3 linked regions of the Schizosaccharomyces pombe genome follow. The protein of the gene in region 3 binds, or shares a complex with, the protein of the main gene of each other region. Each region holds a gene or a part of one and is shown on either strand. Other genes may lie near its edges. The genes, in order: nup85, gle1 and nsp1.

Region 1 (8,883 bases), on a different chromosome or scaffold from region 3:
GTAAAGGACAAGTATTTGTATAAACGATTTATTAAATCGTCATTTTCACACGATCCTAACACAGGCCTTTTGGAGTCTATTGAGCATAGTAATCTGAAAGAAGCTGTCCTATGTTTAGCACTGGGAGCAGACGTTAATTATCAAAGGGCTGTTGTAAAGGCTTTATTGAAGAACAACTATTTAATTGCTGAACTATTGACGTTGAACGGTGCCAGTTTGAATGTTGACGAAGTTACTATGGAGACGCTTTCAGCGCGGGCGCAAGCGTTTGTGATGAATAGAGCAACTCCTTGAAGGACAACTTGTAAATTTGAAAGAGGAAATAATGGTTTTTTAATTCGTGTGTATATTGGAAAGCTGAGTGAATTTGTTGAATATGCTGGTATGTTTGCATAGATGTTACATAGGTATATATATAAGCATGAAAAGCACACAGAATAAATTTTAAGATATTTCGAACGTATTTGTAGCGTTATGTGAATTGTACATATACTCAATGCATAATAATAAAAAATCTCAGTTACAAGGTACGGAAACAACAAAATTTACAATAATAGTTTTACGCGAGGGACAGAATGTATTGAGTTTTTGGCGAGAAAGGAACCTAAAGTAAGTATCTACTCTAGTCTTGTTGCTTAGATTTTCTCTTGGCAAGACGCTTGCCTGTACCAAAGACCTTCTTGCCTCTGTTCTTACGTTGCTTGCGTTGCTGACGAGCAACCTTTTGGATAGGCTCAGCTTGACCAACACGAACAAGACGGTAGTGAGGCTCAAACTTCTTCATGGACTCAGTAGAGTCATAGATCAAAGCGAAGCCGGTAGATCTGCCACCACCAAAATGAGTGCGAAGACCAAAGGCTTGAACGCATTCGGAATCAGTCTTGTACATTTGAGCCAACTTCTCACGAATTTCATTCTTGGAAAGGTTAGCCTTGCCAGGGTGAAGAATGTCGACGACCTATAAATTTCCGTTAGCTGATGTTGAATTAAAAATAGACCAAAAGGTCAAATAGCGGGAAGCTTCATCAAATAAACATACCATCTGCTTTCTTTGAAGCAAGCGGTTAGTCATAAACTTGCGAGTTCTAATTGTCACGGCCTCACTCATTTTAGAAATTTTGGTGACTGATGGTGGTAAGGAAAGGCTCTCACAAGGGATAGCCATTTGTTTGATGTTGTTTGTGACTGCTTTTTGGACTTTTTGTAATTTAATGAATTTCTTAAACAATACCTAAATGTGGTTTAAAGTTTTTTATTACTAAATCGTTATCACGTTTACAGATTCTTAGCACTAGGCTCTTGACATCACTGTTTATGTGCTACTGTGCACCAGCCATCTTGTAAATAACGTACATTGCTCACCGTATGTAAACAATTAAAACTAATTCCTATTTGTTTTAATATTGCTCGAGGATTCCAAATTGTACAAATTAGCGTCGCTGCTTCTATCTTTTGTTTAAGATTTCACCTGTAATTAGATAGTTGACGGCAATATCTATAACAATATATCTTAACTCTAAGTAAAATTCGAGAAATTTCATTCGGGATGTCCTTTACTGTTTGGTCTAAGACCGAGCCTTTCAAGCTTTCAGCTGTCCAAGAGAGTTTGATAACTTTAGAACATGACAATAAGAGATTGCTTTTAACGTATCGTGAAGAGTCCAAAACATGGGATATTGATTTAAATGGATTCCAAGACATGGACGTTAATGAAATTTTGCAGTTGGCGTTTCTTTCTATTTTCTACGTATTCCCTACTTTGAGAACAGAAGTCGTTCTACAGTGGGCAAACATTGAAAGTCAAAAAGGAACTTTGAGCCTTCCTGTTGAATACAATGAGTTAGAAGGTAATGTCTCGATTGACCGTATGTCTTTTTGGCAAATCCCGTCTCCTTGGATGTACACAAGATGCAGTGATTGGCCTTTATCTTACTTACCGAACCAAGTCATTCGTCGTCCCAAATGTCCAAAACCTGGTTCCACTCTGTATGAGCGATTTATACCTAGCTTGAATGAGACACTTTCCTTCGTATCTCTTGACATTGAGCAACATCTGCAGTATTTCCATGAGTGGCAGAACAAACCGAGAGTTGAATACTTTTGGAACGAGTCTGGTTCATGGGATCAACATCATGAATACCTAACAACACTTCAAAACGATCCTCATTCTTTTGGTGTCATTGGCTGTTTCAATGATGTGCCTTTTGCTTATTTTGAAGTTTATTGGGTTCCTGAGGATAGAATTGCTCCATTTGCTCAGCCTTGGCATACACATGATCGTGGTTTCCATGCCCTTGTAGGTAATGACAAATTTCGCGGGCCTCACCGTGTCCCCGTGTGGTTATCCAGTATTACGCATATGTTATTTTTGGATGATCCTCGTACTCAGCGTGTACTTCTTGAACCAAGAATTGACAATTCAAAATTTATTAACTATTTGATCGAAGAAAATTACTCCAAACGTTTGGAATTTAATTTCCCTCATAAACGTGCCGCATTTATGGAGATTACTCGTAACATGTTCTTTTCATGCTTAGGCCCTCGAATTTAGTACGACGATTTTTTTTGATTTTTTGCTTTTACAAGTATAAGCAATGTAGATTTCATTCCATACATTTGAAGTCTTAATCAATTATTCAACTATGTTTTAGTAATTTCATCAGTCATAAATAATATTCACAAGAAAGGTACGAATATAATAAAGATCTATCGATATCTATCATCTCTATAACGTCTATCATATCTATACCTTCGTTCAGGAGATTTATCTCGTAAGTGATCATCACAATTTTTATTTCCAGTATTTCTCCGTTTATGGTATGAACGATCATCACCGTAGTAGTTAGAAAATCTTTCATTTCTAAATGAACTTTGATCGTCACGATGATCACGCTCTTTCCGTCGATGCCTATAGTCGTCTCGGTAATTAGATCTGTCATAACGACCATCAGACCTACGGTGGTACTCACGATCATCACTACGAGACGAAGAACGTTTTCGGTCCCTATTGGAGTTGTAATATTGTCTGTAACGAGCCACGCTTTGGGAAAAATCTACGTGAATTCGAGAATCATCAATTAAAACATTTTGCATTTTAAAATAAGCTTTTTCAACACTTTCTTTGTTATCAAATTCGATAAAGGCATATTGAAGACTATCGCCTGTTTCTTTATCTCGAATAACTTGGCAGGAGATAATTTTTCCAAATCGCGAGAATATTAACTCTAAATCTTCATCTTGGGTAACGGGATTTAATTTGCAAACGAACAAAACGTTTTCGGGAGGAGCAACATGAGCAAAGGGTAAATCACCAATCATTTCTAGTGTAACAGCCTCTGCTTCTGCCTCCATTTCCTTCTCTCTTTGCAATTTATCTTCCGATGTTTCTGACTCAATTTGTTCGTTTTCCCCTATACGTACCGTAGCTAATTGTTCAGGCGTTGGAGACGGTGACCGCAAAGGCTCCACTAGATCGGGTGGATCCTCAAACGGGTCATCTAGTATAATTGTGTGTTTTATACGAATATCACGATAAGGCTGACCCTCTTCATCGCATATAGCGTCATTGATTTTCAGTAGCGTGTCAAAGCCTTCAGCAACCTGTCCATAAATTGGGTATCTTTCATCAAGTCCTTCTAAATTGTCTGACAAAGTTATTATAAACTGACTACCACAAACAAGTAATTTGTCATCTCTAGAAGATATAGTTGCTGTGCTCATACTAACCAAGCCCATTTTATTATGTACCAAAGAAGGATTAAATTCCGCTTTGAAAAAGCGTGTTCCTTTATTCAGTACATTCCACACACATCGACCACCATCTCCAGTTGGTCCAAGAGGATCACCTGTTTGACAGGTATAATTGTGCTGAATGTTATAAAATGGACAAAAATTATAGTATTTTAATTTGCATAATTTAAGAAAATTCTCACAAGTTTTGGGCGCTTCCTTGACGAATAAATCGATAACCAAATCACCAACTGTAGTTTCAATTAGTACAGACATGGCTTTTTAAAGATACTTGAATGGTATTCTTGGATGGTATGATGTAAGAATGTTTCAAAAAAACGATTGTATACATGCAAGAAGGCTTTATTCTCAGATATCCACAAATTACCAAAAAAATAAACCAAAGCTCTCAAGCGTAATATTCCAATTCAAAAAATATATACAAAAATTCAGCAAGTTATAACAGAAAATATAAATTAAACCAAAGCAATAACAAAAGGGTAAAATCAGTCGAACATACTGTTTATGTTGGTGTTTGGAAAGTTTTTTCTGTTTAACTCGTTAAAATCATTTGCAGTGATTCGTTAAATACGTAAACAAACTAGGCAAAAACGCAATGTGATACATTCGTTTGTAACACAATTAAGTAAATTTTTTATATTATATTCACTTATTAAAGCCTTAGAACATCTAGGTAGACAATCTAAAGTGATCATACTTTGTTTTGTTCCAAAGGTTTTAATTTGGTAAGGAGTAATTTAATTTTTTATTTTAGCGATCGTCACGCACAGTTTGCTCCTTCCTGCTGTCTTTTGAGCTAGGTCTTTCTTTCCTTTAGTGTTCCTTGAGTACATTTAACAACAAAGGTAATTCCCGCAAAGGAAAAATAATACACGACCATTCTTAATTTGTTTGTTATAGATACTTTATTGACTTTGAACGCATATTATCGATGATAATAAATCGACACTAATTCTGTTTAATATAATATTAATTAATTTGTACTTTGATGGCATATATCTTGACAAAAAAGCGGTATGCAAAGATTCAATTATGACTGTTTAGTTCTATTTTTTCAGAATCCCTTCAATAATGATATATATAGCATCAAACTCTGTAAGTTACCCTTGCATTTACAAATATTGCTATTAAACATAAATTGCTTAATTGCCAACAGTTCTCAATGAAACTTATTTTTAATGTATAACGTATTTTCATACTAGATTGCAAGTACTTTTCTTCGTTAGCAGCACAGCCTAAATTCTGTATTTTAACTGGAAGATACGAAATTCAATTGCGGACTTTTACGGCGTATAAACCGTTCATAATCCGAAAAACAAGTATGGCTATAATTAAGTTGCTAAAGTTAAATGATCATTGTCTAAGTGTGGACATGGTTGCAATGAATTTTAAAATCATTTAAGTAAACAGTTCTTCATTATAGAAATACTTTTTGATTATCAACTGTCCTTCCAACAGACAGGTAATGTTCTTTAAAAGAGTCAGTTGCAAGGTTCGAAACGTTAATTACGTGTGTAGTTAGTCCATCGAAGATTTATCGAATATGTAAGCATGAATCTTGGTTAATTCACTGGTAAAATAAGTGATAACAAATTTATATAGAAACGAAATTTATTACAATTTATAATTTAAATTAATTTGCAAACATGATCAATTTTTTTATGCCTCCATGAAATACGATCATGCATCGAATTTTGACGAAGATAAAAGCAACGGCATATTCGTTTCTAATTTTTATTTTAATTCCTTTAATTCTAATAACATTAAAGAAAGTCAGGAAGACTGCTATTTTTTGTTGCGACGATCTGAGTTCAAACTTCATATTGTAGCCTGGCTCCAATTCGATCAACCTTACTTTACGATTAAAGCATCTTTAAAGGAGTGTCTGCTCTTCCTTAGATAATTAGTATTATTCGTTGTCAAAAAAAACCAACAAGAATCAAGTGAGATTTAATTTTTATACTAAATTACTCCTGGTCGAGCAAGAGCCATCCTTTTTGACATCTGAAAAACGCCTGCAGGTGGACACATGCAAATTCCTAATACTTACTGATTTTTTTGAGTATCGGAAAGCAGATAAATATATTCTTTTATATTTTGGTTAATCCAAATCTTACAAGGCTTTTTTCTTACTTTCTTCGGAACTACTAACATTCCAATATGGAATCTTCGGATGAAGTGGATCTTCCTGTTTATCATTTACAAAATGCACCTATAGAAAATGGAAAGTTGAATGACTGGCGTTCAAAAGGCCGAACGGTAGCCTTCAAATTGCATCCTTTTTTGAGAAAAGGACTAGCGTACATTAATAACAAAGAATTTGACGAAAATACGTTAAAGTCTGATAAATTTGAAGAAGTAGAATCTCTGGTGTATGAATTTAGTACTCCTTCTACTCTAATTGAACCAAATTACCTTTTGACCGCATGGCATGAATTATGGGAAGAATTACAAGATACCTATATGACTCCTATCTTGGACAGCGAGGCAAATTTGCTTTTGTTAACGCAGTTTTATGGGAAAATAAGCTCGCTCTTCCGCTCTAAAATTATACAAGTTTTAGAGGAGTTGCAGTCGCGTATTAACGAGGGTGAAAAAGATTGTCAGCCTGTTTTGGATTCTTTATGGGAAGTGGAATCAGCTTGGCGCTGTGCTGAAGCTATTTATTTCCCCCCTTCTTCTCCTTATACCTTATCAACAGGAATTTTAGATTGGGTAAATGCCTATGATCCACAGCCTATTGCCGATGATGGACTCGAAATCATGGCTTATCGTATACCTTACCAACATCCTGAATTTTGGCCTTATGTTAATAAAACAGCTATTCGTGGACTTTTTGAACAAACTATATCATGCCTCGAGATGTCCGGTTTAACGAAGGAGTGGCCTGTACTTAAAGAAACAGTTGACGAACTTATTGATATATTACGTTACAGCCCTTGTACGCACCAAAAGAGAATTAGGTCGGTTTCCGATTTTGAAAGACGATGGAAACTGTGGCGATCACGCTTGGCTAACCTCAGACATGTGGTTAAGAAACATCGGGATATTGATTCGGAAGTTTTGGATGATTTTGTTGTTTTGCTTGATATTTTGAATGGAAATAAAGAAGTCATCATGTTAAGTTGCGCACACTGGCAGGAATATTTTTCAGCTTTAGCATTTTTATATGGTCCTTTGGATTGTAAAAATCCTGAAGATATATCTCTATTATATCAACTTGCAACTGGAGAAGACTCAAAGTTTTACGTTAATGGAACGATTGAGTATGAACAAATATGCGTTAATTTATGCAGTAATGAACCTCTTAACGCTATTAAACACGCCTATCTTCTAGATCTTGGACTAGCCGTGCATTTAGCAGACTTATTGAGTAAAAGCGGTCATTTGCGGGATTACATAACCGAGGAATATCCCATTACCTTACGTGAACATCTTATACTGGAATATGGGCAGTGTGTTTTAGAAAGTAGAAATCTTTGGCAAACGTCCTTTGCTTACTGGAAATGTGTTGCTGATTCCGGCTATCAACGAATAAAAGCTTGTATTCCATATGTCCCTCTTTCCGATGTGGATGCCAAGGAAACTGCACTTCAATTATGCAAGCAGCTTAAACTAAGGGACGAAGCTCAATTAGTATTGACTCATTGGGCTGATGAATTAATTGCACGTAATCACTATGGTGAAGCACTAATTGCTTTAGATAATGCTGCGAACTATTCTGCTTTAAATCGCGTTACTTGGGAATTGTTTGATATATGTATTGCAGAAAAGAAGTCATTTAGTCCCGATAAAGATGAACTGTTGTATGAATTGTTTAGCTCTCCTAAAGCCTGTACCCCGACCCTTGCCTCGATAATATCTCCAGCTGCTACAATTCATCAATATTTTTTTTACCTTCAGCACAAAAAAGAGCTCAATGCCTCTGAACTTCTTGTTGGGTTACTAACAATGGTTGATTTCCCTTCAAGTCGATTCCCTAAGTTATTAGAACTACTTCACGAATTTTTGAATAATCCTTTACAGTCTAACTCGACAGATTTTAAGCTTTCTCTTGTTAATGTTTATGATTGTATCGCTGTCTTACAGGATCAACAGTCAACTGTAAAGGACCAGCAGCTTTTACTATCCATTCATGAGCGTCTTTCTTCTGCGATATCATGGTATTTTCTTCACTTAAAAAAATAAAAACGGTTTAATTCTATAGTAGCTATGCTATATATTTTTTCTGCAAATTTTGGCTCACTTGTACATAATTGAGTTATTTACTCAATTGGGGATTTAAATTAGGCTATTTCTGTTACTTGACATTTTAATCTTTCTGTAACATAGAAGCTTCATACATGTTTTTATTAAGATACAATTGTTCATCTTAAAGACCCATTATAATGTCTCGTCTAATACCATAATAGGGAGGATCCAAAATCAGTGAACCCAGCCGATGTTGTAAATCTAAAAAATTTTACACATTTATTACTCACATCTTCAAACGTTTAGCATATATCAACAGAATCATTTTAAAAAAATATTAACTAAATAACGGAATGTGTTATATTACACTATCTTATGTTACGGAACTACCATCTACAAGGGGTAAATATTCTCTTCCTCCACGAAAATTTCTCTGAAACCTGAAAACGGCAATTGTAAGCTAAAATGAGTGAGGAACAGGTGAATGGAGTTACACAGGCTGTAAAGGCTTTAGTCCTTGATCCCGTCACTGGTGAACAAGTCTCAAAGACTGAGTTAAAGAAGCGCGAAAAACAACGTGCTCGTGAATTAGCTAAAGCAAAAAAGCAAGCCGAAAAGGCTGCGTCTGCTCCTGTTGCTGCTCCTAAGAGCTCTTCAAAGAAGGAAGAAGATTTGGACCCTTCCCAGTACTTTGAAAATCGTTCTCGTACTATCATGGAATTACGCCAAACGAAGGATCCTAATCCTTATCCCCACAAGTTCCAGGTCACCATCACCCTCCCTGAATTTATAGCCAAATATGAGGGACTAGCTCGTGGTGAAACTAAGCCTGAAGTTGAAGTTGCAGTTGCCGGCCGTGTTCTTGGGCTTCGTACTGCTGGTAATAAGCTGCGTTTCTATGAAATCCATGCTGATGGGAAAAAGCTTCAAGTTATGTGTCAA
Region 2 (7,966 bases), on a different chromosome or scaffold from region 3:
TTCATCGTATTTTTGTTGAATAACTTCATCAGTCTGCCTTGTAGCTTCATTTTTCTTGTGGCCGCCTGCCATGAATTAATATTTGTTGAGTTCGTCTGTATGCAGGTATATAAAAATGACGAGTTATTAGCCTATTCGAATTCTCCTTTCGATAAATTCCTTTTATAATATCCAATTGCAATCAAATAATCCTCCGTATAGCATATAATTGTTTCAATTGAAACAAGACGCGTTGAACGATGTGTTGGTAAGTCGAAAGTCGCGCCTGCCCGTACAAACGATTGAAAAAAGCAACAGGCAGAACACCAGAATTATCAAGTAACAAAACACTCTACCATACAAACAATAAAAACATAAGATTATCAGCCAAAGTTACATGAATATACTGATGTCGGTTATATGCAATTTACTTGGTACCTTTGTCTTTTTGTAAACACCGTTTTCGTCGATGAGAAGTTGCAAATAGACCAAAAAAATTGCATTCAGAAACATAGATATATTCTCCCAATTATTTGGTTACATGACCTTATAGTTGATACAAATCATTCACAAGAGAGACAAAGCTCAAATGCAAACTGTACACAGAAAATAATAAACACATTTTATTTATAAAATATTAAACCCATTAAATTCCCAAAATGTATATGTAGTTGTAAAAGTTCGTCTATGACGCACCAGTACAAACTCAATAAAACAGAAAGAATACGCATTTTTAAAAATCTAATTTTTTGATCTTTTCCCTGAACCAGAAGAATTACCATCCTGTCTCAATCTCTTCCCATGTTGAGCAAACCATTCAGCTTTTTCTTCCCGCTTCTTCTCAATATATGCTTGCTCCTCTTTTTGCATCCTTTTATGATACCGCTCATGTTCTGCTGCTTTCTTTGCTTTACGTTTCGCTTCCTTGTCCGTGTGCAAAGTCATTACTTTTTGAAGCAAATCCCTTACCTTCCGTTCTTCTGCATTCAACAAAACTGTACGTTTTTGCATGTACGTCGGTTTGCTTCTAGGACGTAAGGCTTTTTGACGAGAATTAAATGGAAGCTGAGCTTGAAGCGAGGCAGGCACTTTGAGAGGATTAAAATGTCGAGAGGGTCGAACAATCTCCTGGTACTGAGAATTGGGTCGTAAAGGAGTTTTCAATCCCAATTCATGCCGAACTTCTCCTGTTAACCGCATACCGTTCCATTCCGTTTTATCCGTCTCAAGTAAATTGGTGACCATTGTACAGAATTTTCGCACTTGTACCGGATACCATGCCCGCAAAAATACAATGTCACTCATTAAAATTTTGTCTTCAAATGTAGCACGGAAATGTCCATGTTCCTGATCAACTGCCTTTTTAACCTGACCTCGAATCCCTGAAACAGTCCTGATATTGGCACCTTCAAATTTTGCAACTTCTAAAGGACTACTAAACATTTTCTTAATAAATGCTGTGTTTTTAAATATTTTGTAGGGAACACCAGTCAATTTTAATTTTTTAACAATATCGGTCGATTGATCGATATTCAATACTGAGCCCGTAGCTGCAATTCGGAAGCTACCCGCCTTTGCGAACGAATTGGCTACAGATTGGACCGCACAAAAACCGCTGTTGGGAGCGACGAAGGGTCCATAAAAGGTACCGAAACAATGCATGTGTTCTGGAGTATATTTCAACATCCTATTTCGAGTACGCGAGTCACTAATTGAATATACAGGTATCGACTGAAATCTTCTCCAACCCATACTAAAAATCAGAGGATCATTCGTTTTAAGTATTTTTTTGTGCCAACGGTGACGCTTAATACGAACTTGAACTAATCCATACCGTTGCTCATTAGGTAGTAATCCACCAACAACTACGGGATAGCGAGAATCAAAGTGCTCAACAAATTCAAACGGAACGTCGTTTATTACGATACGTACATAAGTGCCTGCTCTATAGCCTTCGATTTCAGCTCGACTTTCAGGATCCATATCCTCAAAAGCTTCTCGATTTATAACAAGCTGACGTGCAATTTTTTCCTTTTCTTCCGTATACCAGTCAACGTCTTTCTTTTCTGGATCTCCACGATCTTCCTCTTCAAAACGAAGACGTAGCTCCTCCTTTTTACGAGCATTTTCTTCACGTTCTGTTTGAAAATCGACTTCATCAGCAGATTCCTCATTTTCAGCAGTTACAGAAGAGCCTGATGATTCCTCCATTTCATTATCGCTAGAATTTTCTTCATCTTCAAGATCCTCAAAATCACCTTCTTCATCATCTTGAGAAACCTCTTCCTGTCCCTCTATAGAATCAAGGAGACTACCGGTTATAAACCTCGACTTCAGTTGTGCTAACAGCTGTGGATTCTCCCATTTTTTCGAGAGACGGTCAGATTCCGATTCCATAAGCTTCTCATGATTCGAAGATATAGATTCATTTGCTACCTTTGACACTTTAAAAAAGTCTTCCTCGTCGTCTGAAACAACCAAATCGCTTTCGCTAGATTTTGCAGATTCACCTTTATATTCAGCATACGCGTCTTTAGGGGAAAGGGATTCATCGTAAAAAATTTTTTGAATATTTCTTCTCCTTTTACCAGATTGAGAGTATGCCAAAGCAGCTTTAGAAGCAAGTCCTTCTTTCCATCTTAAATTAGAATCTTCATCATCAAATTGACCTCCTAAATCGGAATCACTATCAGCAAATGCAACTTCTTCGTTGTCACTTTCATCCTCGTTATTTATAGCACCAATTTTTCCTGTAAAGTCGACGTCTTCGTTTTCATCAGCAGAATTAACATCAGAATCATCAAATGCCCCTTCATCTTCCTTAATTAGTTCTTGATTAATAAGTCCAGTTGGTTGGCGACGGGTTTTACGGCCAACATTATCAATTTCACTTGATTCTCTATCGACCGTATCAATAGCATCTGAATTGCTAAAAAGTTGTAATCCACTATTACCATCGACTCCCAGAGGCTGTTGGGCTTCTTGAAGTTGCATAACCATACGCTCTCCAAAGCCAGCTTCAGAATTTTCATCTTTAGAAAAATTTGAAGTTGGTACCTCAATGTAAACCCTATCTTTGTCAAACAAAATACCACCAATATCGGCCATAGGGCCATAGATTAATTTTTGTTTTTCTGATAGTCGCCGGCGACGGACTTTGTCGGCATCGGGAGGCGGGCAAGGATCTTCTAGGGAAGAAACATCAGACGTTACAAAATCACCAACACCAGGGATATGTACAGAGGCATCGTGCTTAGGAAGATTTGTGCCATGCAAATAACCATATAACGTGATTTTCCGCCCAACTTTCGGATTTTGTTCAATGTCAACAGGCAAAGTAAGGTCTTCCATACGATCAGCTAGTAAATAGGGATGTTGGTTGCGCCATCGCAAAGGCCTAAATTTCATGACACTTATGAATCGAGATAAATTGAGGATTTCCCTATCAGGATATCGTCCGTTCAAAACGCCGGACAAGTAGAACAATTTAGCACCTTGATAGAGTTCAGTCCAAAATCTGTGTTTCAAACGTTTTTTAGCCTCTCGCAATGTAGAAGTCTTCTTAAATAAATCGAGATGTGTTAATACACCCATGATGCGAGGCATACCATGCGGTGCTAATATGTTCAAAAACTCCATAGTTTCCATTTCGAATCCAAAATTCGCGTCAATTAAAAGGAGAACAAGGTCTGCAATCTTGGCTACGTCAATCATAGAGCTGAGATCGTTAGGACACTCCAAAAACGTGATTCTTCTCTTCTTTCCTGCAACCACCGTAATCGGCCCAGTAATCTGAGAAATAGTGTATTTAGAATATCTACGTACTAAAGATTTTATCAAAGTAGATTTTCCAGTGCCAGGAGGCCCCATAACGGCAACAATCACTGGTGGCGGAGCTTCATCCGGTGTGCGATCCACCATTGGCACGTGAAGCTTCTTTTGTGAAATATCCGCCGTACGCATAGCTTGCCTAGCCATGCGCCCTGCAGATGCTACCGCAAATGCCTATTCTTATTAGCCAATTTGATTATTTACAAAAGTTCTCAACATACCTTAGGATTGTTTGAAGCACTACCATCGGACACCTTTTTGAGCTTCTTTTTTTCAGCTTTTGGCCCAGAATGTTTTGCATAATGGCCCTTCTTCTCGTCCATGACAACTATGGAACAAGCTAGATATTTGTAAAGGCTCAAAGTTGAGTAGGTGAAAAAATCCACTTTAAGTCACATCAAGGTAACATGATATAACAAATTTTGAATAGCAGTGTCTGTAGCGAAAATGCATTTCTTGAGTCAAATTATCTTTATTTAATGCAAAAGTAAATATGGTATTAATCAGCGAAACTGACATCAAAGCCAGGATCATTTAAATCGTAATGGTTGAATTAAATTGAAACAATTATCTAGTACACATCCTAACGACTATAATTTCTACCGTAAGTATATTATAAATCAAAAGTAAATAGGTTGAAAACCCATCAAAAAAATTTAAGGCTCAAAGGAGAATTTGAGCCCTCCTTGACCCTTCATCCAGTCTTCTCCAACAATTCGAAGACGACCATACTGACTACCACCTCCGTTCGCTCCTAGATAAGCTTCACTAAAAGAACAAACAATAAGTTTTTTTGCTTGTCTTCCATATATTCGTAATAGAGATTGACCAGCAATATCAAGATACGTTGAGACGATAGAGCAAAGAGTTTGCCCTAGTTCCAAGTCCGATTTCATTAATTGTGAAGGGGATGGAAGATTCAGCAATCGAGAAAATGTTCTCCAGCTCTCGGGAGCTAAGCTATCGTCTAAAGAAAGTATAGCAGCGTAAACTGCAAAAATTCCGCACTGTCGCTCGTTGTATGTAGTATTTTGTTCCCAATGGCCATCAGATAGCTTTTTAAATCCCATTTTCTTTTTACCATTCTCCGTACCGTGATCATACCAAAACGGTATAACCCAAGGACAGTTCTTCTGTAGGCGAGCAAAAAGAAGATCTTTAAGGTCGGCGTTTTGTGTTTGTAATAAAAGGCAAACTTTTGCCAAAGGATAAGCGCTAATTGGGTTTACAGCAACTTCTGCTTCTGCTTGCTTCACCACAGATTTGCAGAAAAAATTCAAAACCCATTTATAGACCAAGGGATCCGTATTTCTGGCCTCTTGGAATGTCTGTTGCAGTAGCTGTGTAATCTTCATGATTTGAGAATTGCTTTTAGTAATTTGACCTAAACGTGGTGTAATTTTCCGTTTTTGAGTAAAGCAATAGTTTTTGAGCTCTTTTTTCTCAGAAATCGGGGCTACTACTTCAGTCTTAATCTTATGAATGATGGACCAAGCCATATTTGAGTCCTCTTCAGGATCGTCTTTAAATGTTTCCTTCATTCTCTTTTCCCGAGCTTCTTCTTCTTTCCTTTTAGCGTCAATTTGCTCCTGCTTTAATCGCCTTTGTTCATTCTCCTTGTGTTTTTGCTCTTCTATCAGCCTGATTCTTTCTTTTTCTTTTTTTTCCTTTTCCATCAATTCTTTTTTTCTTCTCTCCTCTTCATCTTTCAGTCTTTGGCGTTCTGCTTCGATACGCTTTTTTTCCAACAATTCACGATTAAATCGTTCCTGTTCTAACCTTTGTTTCTCTGAAAAAATTCTTTGAGATTCAGTTATACTTTGTTCAATTAAATTTTGCTCTTCAACATTCCTCTTCTTTGCCCAATCTATCGTTTTATGCAACGGTGGGAAAATACGCACATTTTCATCGGCAATTACAGGAAATGGAGATTGTTTTTTAGGCTTATACCTTTGTGATATCTAAGAACATTATTAATAAAAATAATATTAATAGAAAATCGAATACTTACTATGTGAATCATTCGCCGTGTTTTTTCATTATATATATCCCATAAATCATCAATGTCAAGACCGTTAGCATCGTTATAACTAGATATTATTTTTTCATCGAGTTTAGCATGGATTAAAGGTGTTGTTTTTGTATCCATAACTGAAATTTCCTGAAATTGAGGAAATTGGTAAAAGGACGATTTGGAATGGACATTCACTATGCGAAACTCAAATTGATCGAAACTTGATGCTTGCTTTAATTAACATTACAAGTGTCAAAACTATAAAAGTCTTAGGTTATTAGATTGTATTAGGCGGTTTAAATTATAATTAAAAAAACAGAACAAGCAATCATCCAAACTATGAGACATAAGTATATATTAACATAAACAAGTATCATTAATTAAAAATCAAAGTATAACTAGCCCAATGAAGTTGCAAAAAAATACAATAAGTAAGAATGCAATATAAACAATTGCAGGCAAAGCGAGAGATTTGACTTCGTCTATAGCTAAAATGGATTAACTGATATTGGAGGACTTCCTCTAGGTCATTAAAATAAATCAAGTAAAGAAATAATCTGTATCAAGGAATTGAATAGAATACGCTATCTTGAATGCATGAACATACGGTAATGACCAAACACGTGAAGAGCAACTCACGTATAACGATACTAACACACGATTCCGAAAATGTTTTGTAAGATTTCTTCTTATCGAATTTAAATTATAAAGATTTGCATTTTGGGACCTGAATGAGGAAAACATAGCAAAAGATTTCTAGCCCATTATTAAAGCTGTTAATATTACCCCCAGTATAACAACTAGAATTACAAGAAAGCAAAAGCTTCTTTTTCTAGCCTTTCTTGAATGCTCGTTGGCAATCTGCAACTGCCTTGAAGCATTTTTCGTGTTTGTCGATGTGTTTCCGACGTTGTATTCAATGTTGGTAACTAGTTCACCCTGTTCATTAATAATGGTGCTTAGATCGCCTAAAAAGAAAATTGTTAGTAAAACTTTAAATTTATAAAAGCGAAAATATTTTAGGTCAAGTATTTAGCATTACTCCTAACTCCATCACGTAAACAGAAAAAAAAAAAATGTCAACTAGCTGATACTTACGAAAGATTTCATTGAGTTCATTTATTCCTTGAGTCAAATTTTCGATTTCACCTTGTCGTTCATTAATAAGCCTTTGCTGATATTCTAGTTGGGAATTTGAAATCTTTGACTCAGTCAACGGCTGTCGTTGACCAGAAGAATTATTTGATAGAGACACATTACGCTCTTCCTCTTCAATAAAATGTTGTCCGACGTCTTGATTAAGTGCAGCTTGTGCTGCGGCTACAGAATCAGACTCTTGTTGAGCGCATTTCTGTTGTACTCTTTGAAGCTCAGCCAATACCGTATTAAAATCTCGGGTAAGCTTTGATAAGGCGAAGGACGACGCTTCTTCTCCATATTTTGTATCTTTGATGTTGGCAAGCCTTACCAAGTCTGAACGAACCTTTTGAGATAGTTCACGGGATTGCTCTAAAACCTCATGTAAGTTTTTCGTAAGGTTGTTTACCAAATATCTATGAATTGCTGCTGTGTTTCCTCGTAGAGCATGAATTTCCTGAGCAATACTGCTCGCTAAGGCTGGAAAGTCACCATTTTGCTCGATCTTATGTCTTCCTTGCTCCAAGTCAACAAAAGACATTATAGCAACAAAAAAATTGAATCAAAGCAATCCAACAGTATTTGCAAAGGTACTAAGAAAGTCAATATAATTAAAAAATTGGCCAATTAGCTTGAATTGAGTCTGAAAACAAAGATTCAAAGTTTTTCAGCAATAATTAGTCACCTTGCTAAGGTTACAATTCTTTTGTTCGTAGAAACCTTGACAATTGTCAAGTGTTTTAGTAGTTGGAAGAAGAATGCAAATCTTATGAGCAAGGCTCATACCTAATAGGAATTAGTAAGACCCAGCAAACCGGAGCGAACGCCTTTCGTAAGTACTCTAAAGTTCTTTATTTATGTATAGTGCGAAAGAAGGCAATCTTACAATAGGTTATTATTAGTCGCTATTTAGTAAACATCTAAAATGGCTGAAATCTAATATAGGACACATTCGATTAAAAGGAATTAATTGAAATATTGATAATTTGAATTTCAAATAAAAAA
Region 3 (8,294 bases):
AGTGGATTCTAAATAGTGTCTCCAATGTTTGAGAGACTTAATGATTGCAAGCATTTCTTTGTCCGATACGCTATAATTTAATTGTGCTTTAGACATCTTTGCTGAATAGTATCCAACAGGATAGTATTTATCATCATCATGTTTTTGAGACAATACGGCTCCTACAGCGACATCTGAAGCATCAGTTTCCAGTAGAATCTTTTTACTGAAATCAAAGTGTCGTAGCACCGGAGGAGAAACTAAACATTGTTTAATGTTTTCTATCGCTTGGGTTTGTGTTGGTGTCCATTTCCAGCGTACATCCTTTTTCAAAAGATTATTGAGTGGATGTGTTAATTGTGATGTCTTTGGAATGAATTTCCTAAGATAATTGACAGAACCTAGAAATTGTCGTAATTCTTTACGATTCTTAGGTTGCTTCCATTGTAAGACTTTGTCTATATTTTCTTGACAAGGCGTAAATCCTTTTTCCGAAATGTGATACCCTATAAATTTTACTTGTGATTGGTGAAATTCACATTTTGCTTGATTGATAATTAAGTTCGCATTTTTCAATTTCTGTAGAACGTCTTTAACATGTTTTACATGTTCAGATTCCGATTTTGAATGAATTAAAATATCATCCATATAACATACTACATGTGATTCTTTGGCTTCACCAAGTATTGTATTGATAAAGTATTGAAAATGTGCTGGAGCTGTAGATATGCCATAAGGCATTACTAGATATTCAAAAACTCCACGAGGACAGCGAAAAGCAAGTTTATGTTCATCTCCTTTTCTTACTCGTATCAAGTGATAGGCACTTTTGAGGTCAAGTTTAGTAAAAATTGTAGAACCTTGTATTTTAGCAAGTAATTGTTCAATAAGTGGTAACGGATATATATTGGGTTTGACATACTTATTTAAAGGTTTGTAGTCAACCACCATTCTCAAGGTGCCTTCCTTTTTCGGAACGAACATTACTGGACAGGCGTTAATGGCTTTAGATTCTCGTATAATTCCACTTTTTAATCCTTGATTAATTTCATCATTCATAGCTTGCATTTTTCCCGGTGGTAGCGGGTAATTTCTGATAGGTAATCTGTAGTTTTCTTGAGTTAGTTCAACTTCAAATTCTAACCCTTTTATTGGCTTTGGTAGCTTTTCCGTATTGGTTTCTGCAGTAATGTCTTTGAATTCTTTATAGATATCTGGTAACTCAGGTTCCTTGACAATATTTGAAACTTTGTTCATTTGAGAGAGCGTGTGTTTACTGCTAGATATTTCAATGTTATTGTCATATAATGTTGTGAAGGAGATAGCAGCTGGATGCGAAAATTTCTTTACAACCAAGAATTCTGTTTTGATTGATATTCCATTTAGACTTATGTTAAGTTTTATTGTTTTGCGATTAATCTTATTTGGATAAACTCCACCATATATCACACTTTTTGACCAGGGTCTGGTAGGCAGTTTATGTGCTCGAACAGTTTCTTCTGTTATAATATTTGCTTGAGCGCCCGTATCGATTAGACAGGGTATTGAGCACTTGAAGTCTGGAAGTTCAGCTTGTAATACCATTTCGTAACGTTTCCTAGTATGATTTAGGAATTTGTTAGATGAGTATTCTATTCTCGAAACATTTGTCTTCCTCAGGTTTCTGCTATTAGTGGTGTTATTTTTCTTTGAAAGGGACTCTTTTCCTAGATTTTTATTTTGCAGTTGAAAACGCTTGTGAGTTTTACCATACGAGGCTGTTCTTTTGTCCTCTAAAAAGTCATAAATTTCACTGATTTCTGATTTCCAGTAATTTCTTTCCTTTAATTTCCTTAAGGAATATGGCAGCATCCATAATATAAACAAGCGAGTATGGAAATCATCAACATTTGCTTTTGACATGAGTTTCCTTATAAATTGAACTTTGTCCAATTGATTTCTAAAACCTTCAAATGTTTTAGTTAAACGATCACCTTTGTTGGATCCTTGTACTTTCCCTGTTTGTCTGAGTAATTCTTGCCATGTAAGACTTCCATTCTCAGAAAACATGCGTTCAGCGAATTGTTGCTCTAATTCTTCTAGGTGATTCAATGTATACTGTCTTTTAGTATGCTCATTTGGGAATAATGAAGGGTATTCAGTAAAGTGTTGATCAAGTTTTGAAATGTAACTTTCAACATCCTTATTAGGATCGAATTTCCCTATCTCTGGTACATGCTTCGATAATATTTTTGCAAAAAGGTTTATTAAATGTTCGTCTGATGTTTGAATTCCATCCAAATTCTCTGGTCTCCATCGTTTTGCTCTTGCTTTCATATAACGATAATTTGCGTAGGACATTGTATATGTTTCCCTTTGGGAGATTTCAAAAGGGATAACAGTCCTTCCAAAGTTCTTTCTCCTTTGAACCCAGAAGGAGAGAAATATATATATTTATGATATATATTTATTCAATAATTCCTTTTTCCTAAAGGAGTTAATTGTAGATCACAAGAGTTCAGTTATTGTAAGCTACGCAGTTTGGTATCTGATTTAAGGATACGTAGAACTGCGGTGAGTTTTCCTTGTGATCTATTATATTACAATACACAGGTTGTATAAGTAGCAACTGAGTATAGGTATTGTATTAACTGGGTTATAATGTTACCTATCACTAATATAGCTCATAACTGAACTGAGGAACGAGGTTCAGCAGTAGCTCTATTTATAGTATTCAGATAATATTGATCTTAATAGATTATCATTAAGATCAATCTCCATATCGTATCATACATGGTACGATATATAATTAGAACATGTGACATATAGTGATACTCAACGTAGTGTATTATAGCGTAGTGTAGTATTGCTGACATTAAGATAACTTTTACGAAATGCGTAGATGAATATGCTATTTAAAAGTTATATGTAAAATATGAGCTGTCAGAAAAAGCGAATAAATGAGTGTTCTCGAAGCTGGATCAATGTCTTTTACTCAATTTTTTACACAAGATTTTGCAACTTTGCCACTTTTGAAATATGACTTAGCAAACGTAACTTGAATCTACCAAAAGTCATAGTAAAGAAAAAGCTCTTAAACTACCCATGAAAGATGCGCAAAAGATATTAAGTTGTTATTTAGCGGCAGTTTTAAAAATTTTGTTGTGGAAGTATACGCCATTTTTTTAATAAAAACGACTTCAACAGAGATAATTTGGACTCTGTAATTTTGTACTACAAAATTACAGCGCTCTGTATAGCAGATTTACTATAAACCGTATTCCAAAAATAAAAGGGAAGTTGATTTGGTATTGAAGACAAGGAGCTAAAATCGCACGCTGTAAAAAAGAAACTACTACACGAAATTCAAAATTGAATCTTTGACTCGAAAGAACCAACTAGTTAAACTAAAAAAATAGCATTACGCATGAAATGAATTGCTTGAGTTGTTGACTTCAAGTTGAAAAGGAATGCGGAAACAGTAAGAAAAAAGTAAACATTATAAAGGCATCGTAGGGAGTGGTAGAGGCATATTCAAATGTAGATTCAATGTCTTTATACCTTTTTGAACCATGTTGAAGAACCTAAGAAGGCAGAAGATTGATCAAAGGCCCATTCACCAAAGTTTAGATACTTTTCGACAGCTGTCTTAACGTCTTCGTTATGAATTTTCTCGACCTCAAAACTACCATTACATGTTGTTAAAAACTATATCGACAAATGTAATTAGAGAATGCTACTTACGAAATACCAGATGATCGACGGATGCCGGCCACACAAGTAGAGACTAGTGCTAAGTCGACACCGTAATGAAATAGTCGGGAAAGAAAAGGCTACTATTAGTATTATTTGATGCTAAAACATACCATTATCGATTAAATAGATCTTTTTAAAGGCACTATGAGAACGTCAGAGAGGAGAGGTATTTGGGTGTGGTTGAGGTAAGTGTTTAGTCTAGCGTCAGTTTATAAGACTGAGAGGTCGGTAAAAAAATACCATAGAATACCTCTCATCTTCCTTATAACATAAAAATATTATAATTGATGTTAAATTCATAAAACTGGGGAATTAATGATTGGGCTAATTAATACTACATAAATTGTCAAAATCATTCACAGATCAAAACCTTTGTGTTCAGCTAGTTTAAAAATTTAGTTAGCAATTTATAAAGGCTTATGTAAAGAAAAAGAGAAAAGTATCTAGGTCTGTCTCATAAGTGTGAAATGAAATTCTTGGGGTTAAGTATGGTAAACTGCACGATAAATTACAAGACTGACACACCCATTTTATGAAGAAAATGCCATTTTATTATTTTCATTTACGTACAAGCAATAATGTGATGTTCCTTAGTATTGATAAAAGAAAACCACAATCTATTAGATTTAACAGCACCAGGGAATAGACCGAGGGGAAATCATTAATAAGGGCTAGGTAGTTTTAATAGTTTTCCATTTCCTTAAATATTATGATTAGAACAAAACGTCAGAATTCTTTTTTTTTATTGTATCCAACTTTTCTTCCATTTGAAATATTCTATTTTCAACCCATCCGAGACTTGCCAACTGTGCATTCAAAACCTTCACAATTTCGGAAATTGAATCATCGGGTTTAGAAAAATCATTCATTTGGTTTATGACAGTACCAAGGTCTTCACCCAATCGATCCAATCTACTCAAAATATCATCAGCAACACCAAAAGCGCGCTCACGTTCGACGTTAAGTGCTGAAGTTGCACGACCATCAAAGGTCTCCAACTGAGTTTCATAAGAATCCAGCAATTTAAATAGCTCTTGCTGGCTGGAAGATACATATTCCAATCCGTCATCAATGCGGTTTGACATCTGTTCTGCTTCAACAGTTTCAGTGTATAATTTCGATATTAAAGCACCATTGTCTACTAAAGTTCTATCCCAGTCAGAAACCTGGTCACAAAGCTTATTAAAAACTTCAGTTTGCGTAGTCAAATCAGTAGACCATTTATTAAGGATTTCCTGAAGAGTTTTGTGTTTGATAGAAGATGGAGGAGGCTCAGAAGGAGTAGTGGAGGCAGTAGCGCCCGGCTTGGCGCTGGGATCGGCAGGTTTATTACCAAAAAGGGGACCGGTTTTTGAAGTAGATGTTGTAGTATCAGTTGCAGGTTTACCAAATGAAAATCCAGAGCTAGTCTGATTCGCACCTTCTGCAGGTTTCGTATTGTTCGAAAGTGGCGGAGCTGAAGTTGCTGTTGTGCTAGTATTTTCCGTAGGTTTTGAAGTGTTTCCAAAAGAAAATGTTGGCTTATTATCACCAGTTGAAGTAGCCGGTTTTGTAAAAGCTGAGTTGGGAGCAGTAGGTTTATTAGTATCCTCTGTAGTTGCAGGTTTTCCAAAACTAAATCCAGTACCAGCTGAAGATGTGGTGGTAGTACCTTTGTCCGTTGCGGTTGAAGCTGCTTGGCCCGCAGGCTTACCAAAAGAGAAACCAGTAGTTGGAGCAGAACCAGTGTTAGATGCAGCAGGCTTTGAGTCATTGGTTCCCGTAATGGAGCTACTGGGGGTGACAGTAGTGTTAGATCCTGGAGCTGAAGTAGTTGCAGGCTTTCCGAAGCTAAAGCCTGAATTAGCAGTGGTTGAAGTGGATGCATTATTAGTAGAGCCTAAACTAGCAGGTTTTCCAAAGCTAAAACCTCCGCTTCCAGTAGCAGGTGTCGTAGAAGTAGAAGAAGCTGGAGGGGCATTGCTTGTAGTCCCTGTAGCAGCAGGCTTCCCAAACAAAGAACCAGTACTAGCGGCTGCCGGAGTCGTCGTATTAGTCGTAGAAGCGGGTTTACCGAAATTAAAAGAATTATTTGAACTTCCAAAATTAAAAGTACTACCTGAAGGATTAGTAGTTGCTGCACCTGTAGCAGAAGAAGCGGTGTTTTTACTTTTATCACCAGTAGAGTTAGCAGACCCGGTACTTCCTAAACCTCCGAAAAGAGGTTTAGCCCCAGCAGTATTGTTGGTATTAGTAGACCCAAACGAAAAAGGTGAACTCGTTGATGCATTTGTTGAGTTGCCTGTAGTCGCTGCTTTACCAAAAGAAAAGGTACTGGGAGCACTGGTGTTACTCGCGTTATTAGAACCAAATAAGCCTCCAGACGGCGCTGTAGAAGAGGTATTATTATTTGTGTTTCCAAACAAGCCAGTCGCCGCAGGAGTTGCTGCTCCTTGCGCAGCTGAATTCGGCTGCGCAGGTTTCCCAAATGAAAACCCTGAATTCTGGTTATTACCTGGGTTGAAAGCTATTGATTTTGTTAGCAAATTTTAATAAATTCCAAGGGACCAGCTTTGCCGCCTCTTACACTTACACATTGATTTGGGTCTTGCTGAAAGTTGTATCAGGACAGTGAAATGTTTATGGCGTTCGGTCACAACTCGGTGAATTCGGAGACGTCGGTAACCAAAACGGAGAACTGGGTCACCATTCGGAGTTTTTGGGACCTGAAGAAAGGGTCCACTGAAGCTCACCGAAGATACTTCTTTTACATAAGAGCGTCATCGAACGAGTGGAAAATACCTAACCAAACCCAACAACATGACCAATATATCGTTGACTATTAAGGCGGCAAATGATCAAAAGTACGCAGTTACAGTTGATAGTGAATCTTCTGTACTTGCATTAAAGGAAGCCATTGCGCCTGTAGCTGATATAGAGAAGGAACGACAAAGACTGATTTACGCTGGTCGCGTTCTGAAAGATGAAGAGTCATTAAAAACATACAAAATTCAAGATGGACATAGTATACATTTGGTAAAAACCTTAGGACAAAATCCTGCAGCCGCCGCCACGAATGTATCGGACCGCACTCAACAAGTTCCAACGAATATTCAAGCAGGTCAGGGTGCTAATAATCCTCTTGCCAATTTAACTAGCGCTCGTTACGCTGGATTTAATATCCCTATGCCATCAGCATCTATGTTTGGTCCTAATCCTGAGAATCCTGTTCCACCCTCGACCGAAGAGCTTGCCAATATGTTGTCTAATCCTATGGTGCAGTCTTCTATTAATGAGATGTTTTCAAATCCTCAAATGTTGGATATGATTATTAATAGCAGCCCGCATCTTCGTAATGCACCTCCTTATGTCCGTCAAATGATGCAGTCCCCTGAGTTCCGTCGCGCGATGACTGATCCCGACACAATGCGCCAAATGGCTCAACTACATCAACAAATGGGTGCTGCCGGTATTGACCCTATGTCCTTAATGGGGGGTGGTCTAGGAGGAGCTGGCTTAGGCGGTTTAGGTGGAGCTGGTTTAGGTGGATTTGGAGGGGCTAATAATGCTACAGCTGGTATTGCAGGTGCCGCACCTGTTGATCAAACTGCTGCTGCCAACACCATTCAAAATTTATTAAATAACTTGGGAGGAGCTGGCTTCGGTGCTGGTTTGGGAGACGCCGGTTTGGGAGCTGGCCTTGGGGGAGCTGCCTCTCCTCCAGCTCCTGCTCAAGATACTCGCCCTCCAGAAGAGCGTTATGCTGAGCAATTGAGCCAGCTTAATGAAATGGGCTTTGTGGATTTCGAGCGTAACGTTCAAGCACTAAGAAGAAGTGGAGGAAACGTGCAAGGTGCTATTGAATCTTTGTTGAGTGATCTTTAATTCCTTTGTTCGTTTCTAGAATATATCAATCAGGCTTATTGGTGTTCATATATTTCAAGGATAATACCCTTTGTATCAAGACTTCCCTCTTCCCTTTTTCCTTTTGTAATAAAATTTATACGGCCCAATCTTTTGGTGATATTTAGATTATTATGCCATGCTTGCAAGTTTTGCCAGATTTACCTGAACAAGACTTTTAGTGACTTTACCTGGAAAGTCATCGTACTCTGTTTTATCGCGATGATCATATTAATCGATTTGAATGAATATGTTTAGTCGTTTAATTTAAGTACGATGACGAATTCTATATATGCTTCTCCTAGATAGAAAGCTTACTTGTTGTGTAAAAATAAGTTTTTTCTAAATTGTCAGTTTACTTACGCTTCAGTGATTTATAATGTTCAATAAACGATAGCAGTTTTAAGATACTAAAAAAAAAGAAAAATACGTCTGTTTAACATTACAACTTAATTATGCTTATGAAAGTTGAATTTCAAATAATAAAATGATATAGACAAAATTGTATTAAGATAGTTTATCCTTAGTCCCAAAAACTAAATTCCAAAGTTCCGTCCGATGACAAGCGTATAGTTCAGCAAGTTTAAAAATCAAAAGTGACAATGGGCAAGAAATACTTTGAAACATCCCAGTATCGACGCTTTGCGCCTTTCCATTCCTCGTCTTTACTACTTACGGGCATGGATTCGTATGTACAT

The links.
Region 1: nsp1 (region 3) and nup85 share a complex: the UniProt entries of both Schizosaccharomyces pombe proteins name them as parts of the nuclear pore complex.
Region 2: nsp1 (region 3) and gle1 share a complex: the UniProt entries of both Schizosaccharomyces pombe proteins name them as parts of the nuclear pore complex.

Annotation. Positions count from the first base shown.
Region 1 is NC_003423.3:2,173,156-2,182,038, reverse strand, and holds nup85 (nucleoporin Nup85), read left to right. Parts: upstream 1-5,608; 5' UTR 5,609-5,910; coding exon 5,911-7,938; 3' UTR 7,939-8,383; downstream 8,384-8,883. Other genes in the region: centaurin Cnt5, read left to right, coding at 1-294; rps2402 (40S ribosomal protein eS24), read right to left, coding at 623-958, 1,040-1,108; sib3 (siderophore-iron biosynthesis protein), read left to right, coding at 1,547-2,551; RRM-containing cyclophilin Rct1, read right to left, coding at 2,707-4,005; lysine--tRNA (Lys) ligase Krs1, read left to right, coding at 8,407-8,883. UniProt on the Schizosaccharomyces pombe protein: Functions as a component of the nuclear pore complex (NPC).
Region 2 is NC_003423.3:245,254-253,219, reverse strand, and holds gle1 (nucleoporin Gle1), read right to left. Parts: upstream 5,992-7,966; 5' UTR 5,960-5,991; coding exon 5,822-5,959; exon of another isoform or gene 5,772-5,821; coding exon 4,467-5,771; 3' UTR 4,243-4,466; downstream 1-4,242. Other genes in the region: cell cycle transcriptional repressor Whi5, read right to left, coding at 1-72; GTP-binding protein Bms1, read right to left, coding at 721-3,984, 4,032-4,133; SNARE Pep12, read right to left, coding at 6,581-6,792, 6,923-7,502. UniProt on the Schizosaccharomyces pombe protein: Functions as a component of the nuclear pore complex (NPC).
Region 3 is NC_003424.3:3,363,230-3,371,523, forward strand, and holds nsp1 (nucleoporin Nsp1), read right to left. Parts: upstream 6,324-8,294; 5' UTR 6,291-6,323; coding exon 6,287-6,290; intron 6,221-6,286; coding exon 4,428-6,220; 3' UTR 4,243-4,427; downstream 1-4,242. Other genes in the region: Tf2-4 (retrotransposable element/transposon Tf2-type), read right to left, coding at 1-2,319; mitofissin Atg44, read right to left, coding at 3,514-3,643, 3,703-3,791, 3,825-3,827; dsk2 (UBA domain protein Dph1/Dsk2), read left to right, coding at 6,514-7,578; rmt2 (N-methyltransferase), read right to left, coding at 8,180-8,294. UniProt on the Schizosaccharomyces pombe protein: Functions as a component of the nuclear pore complex (NPC).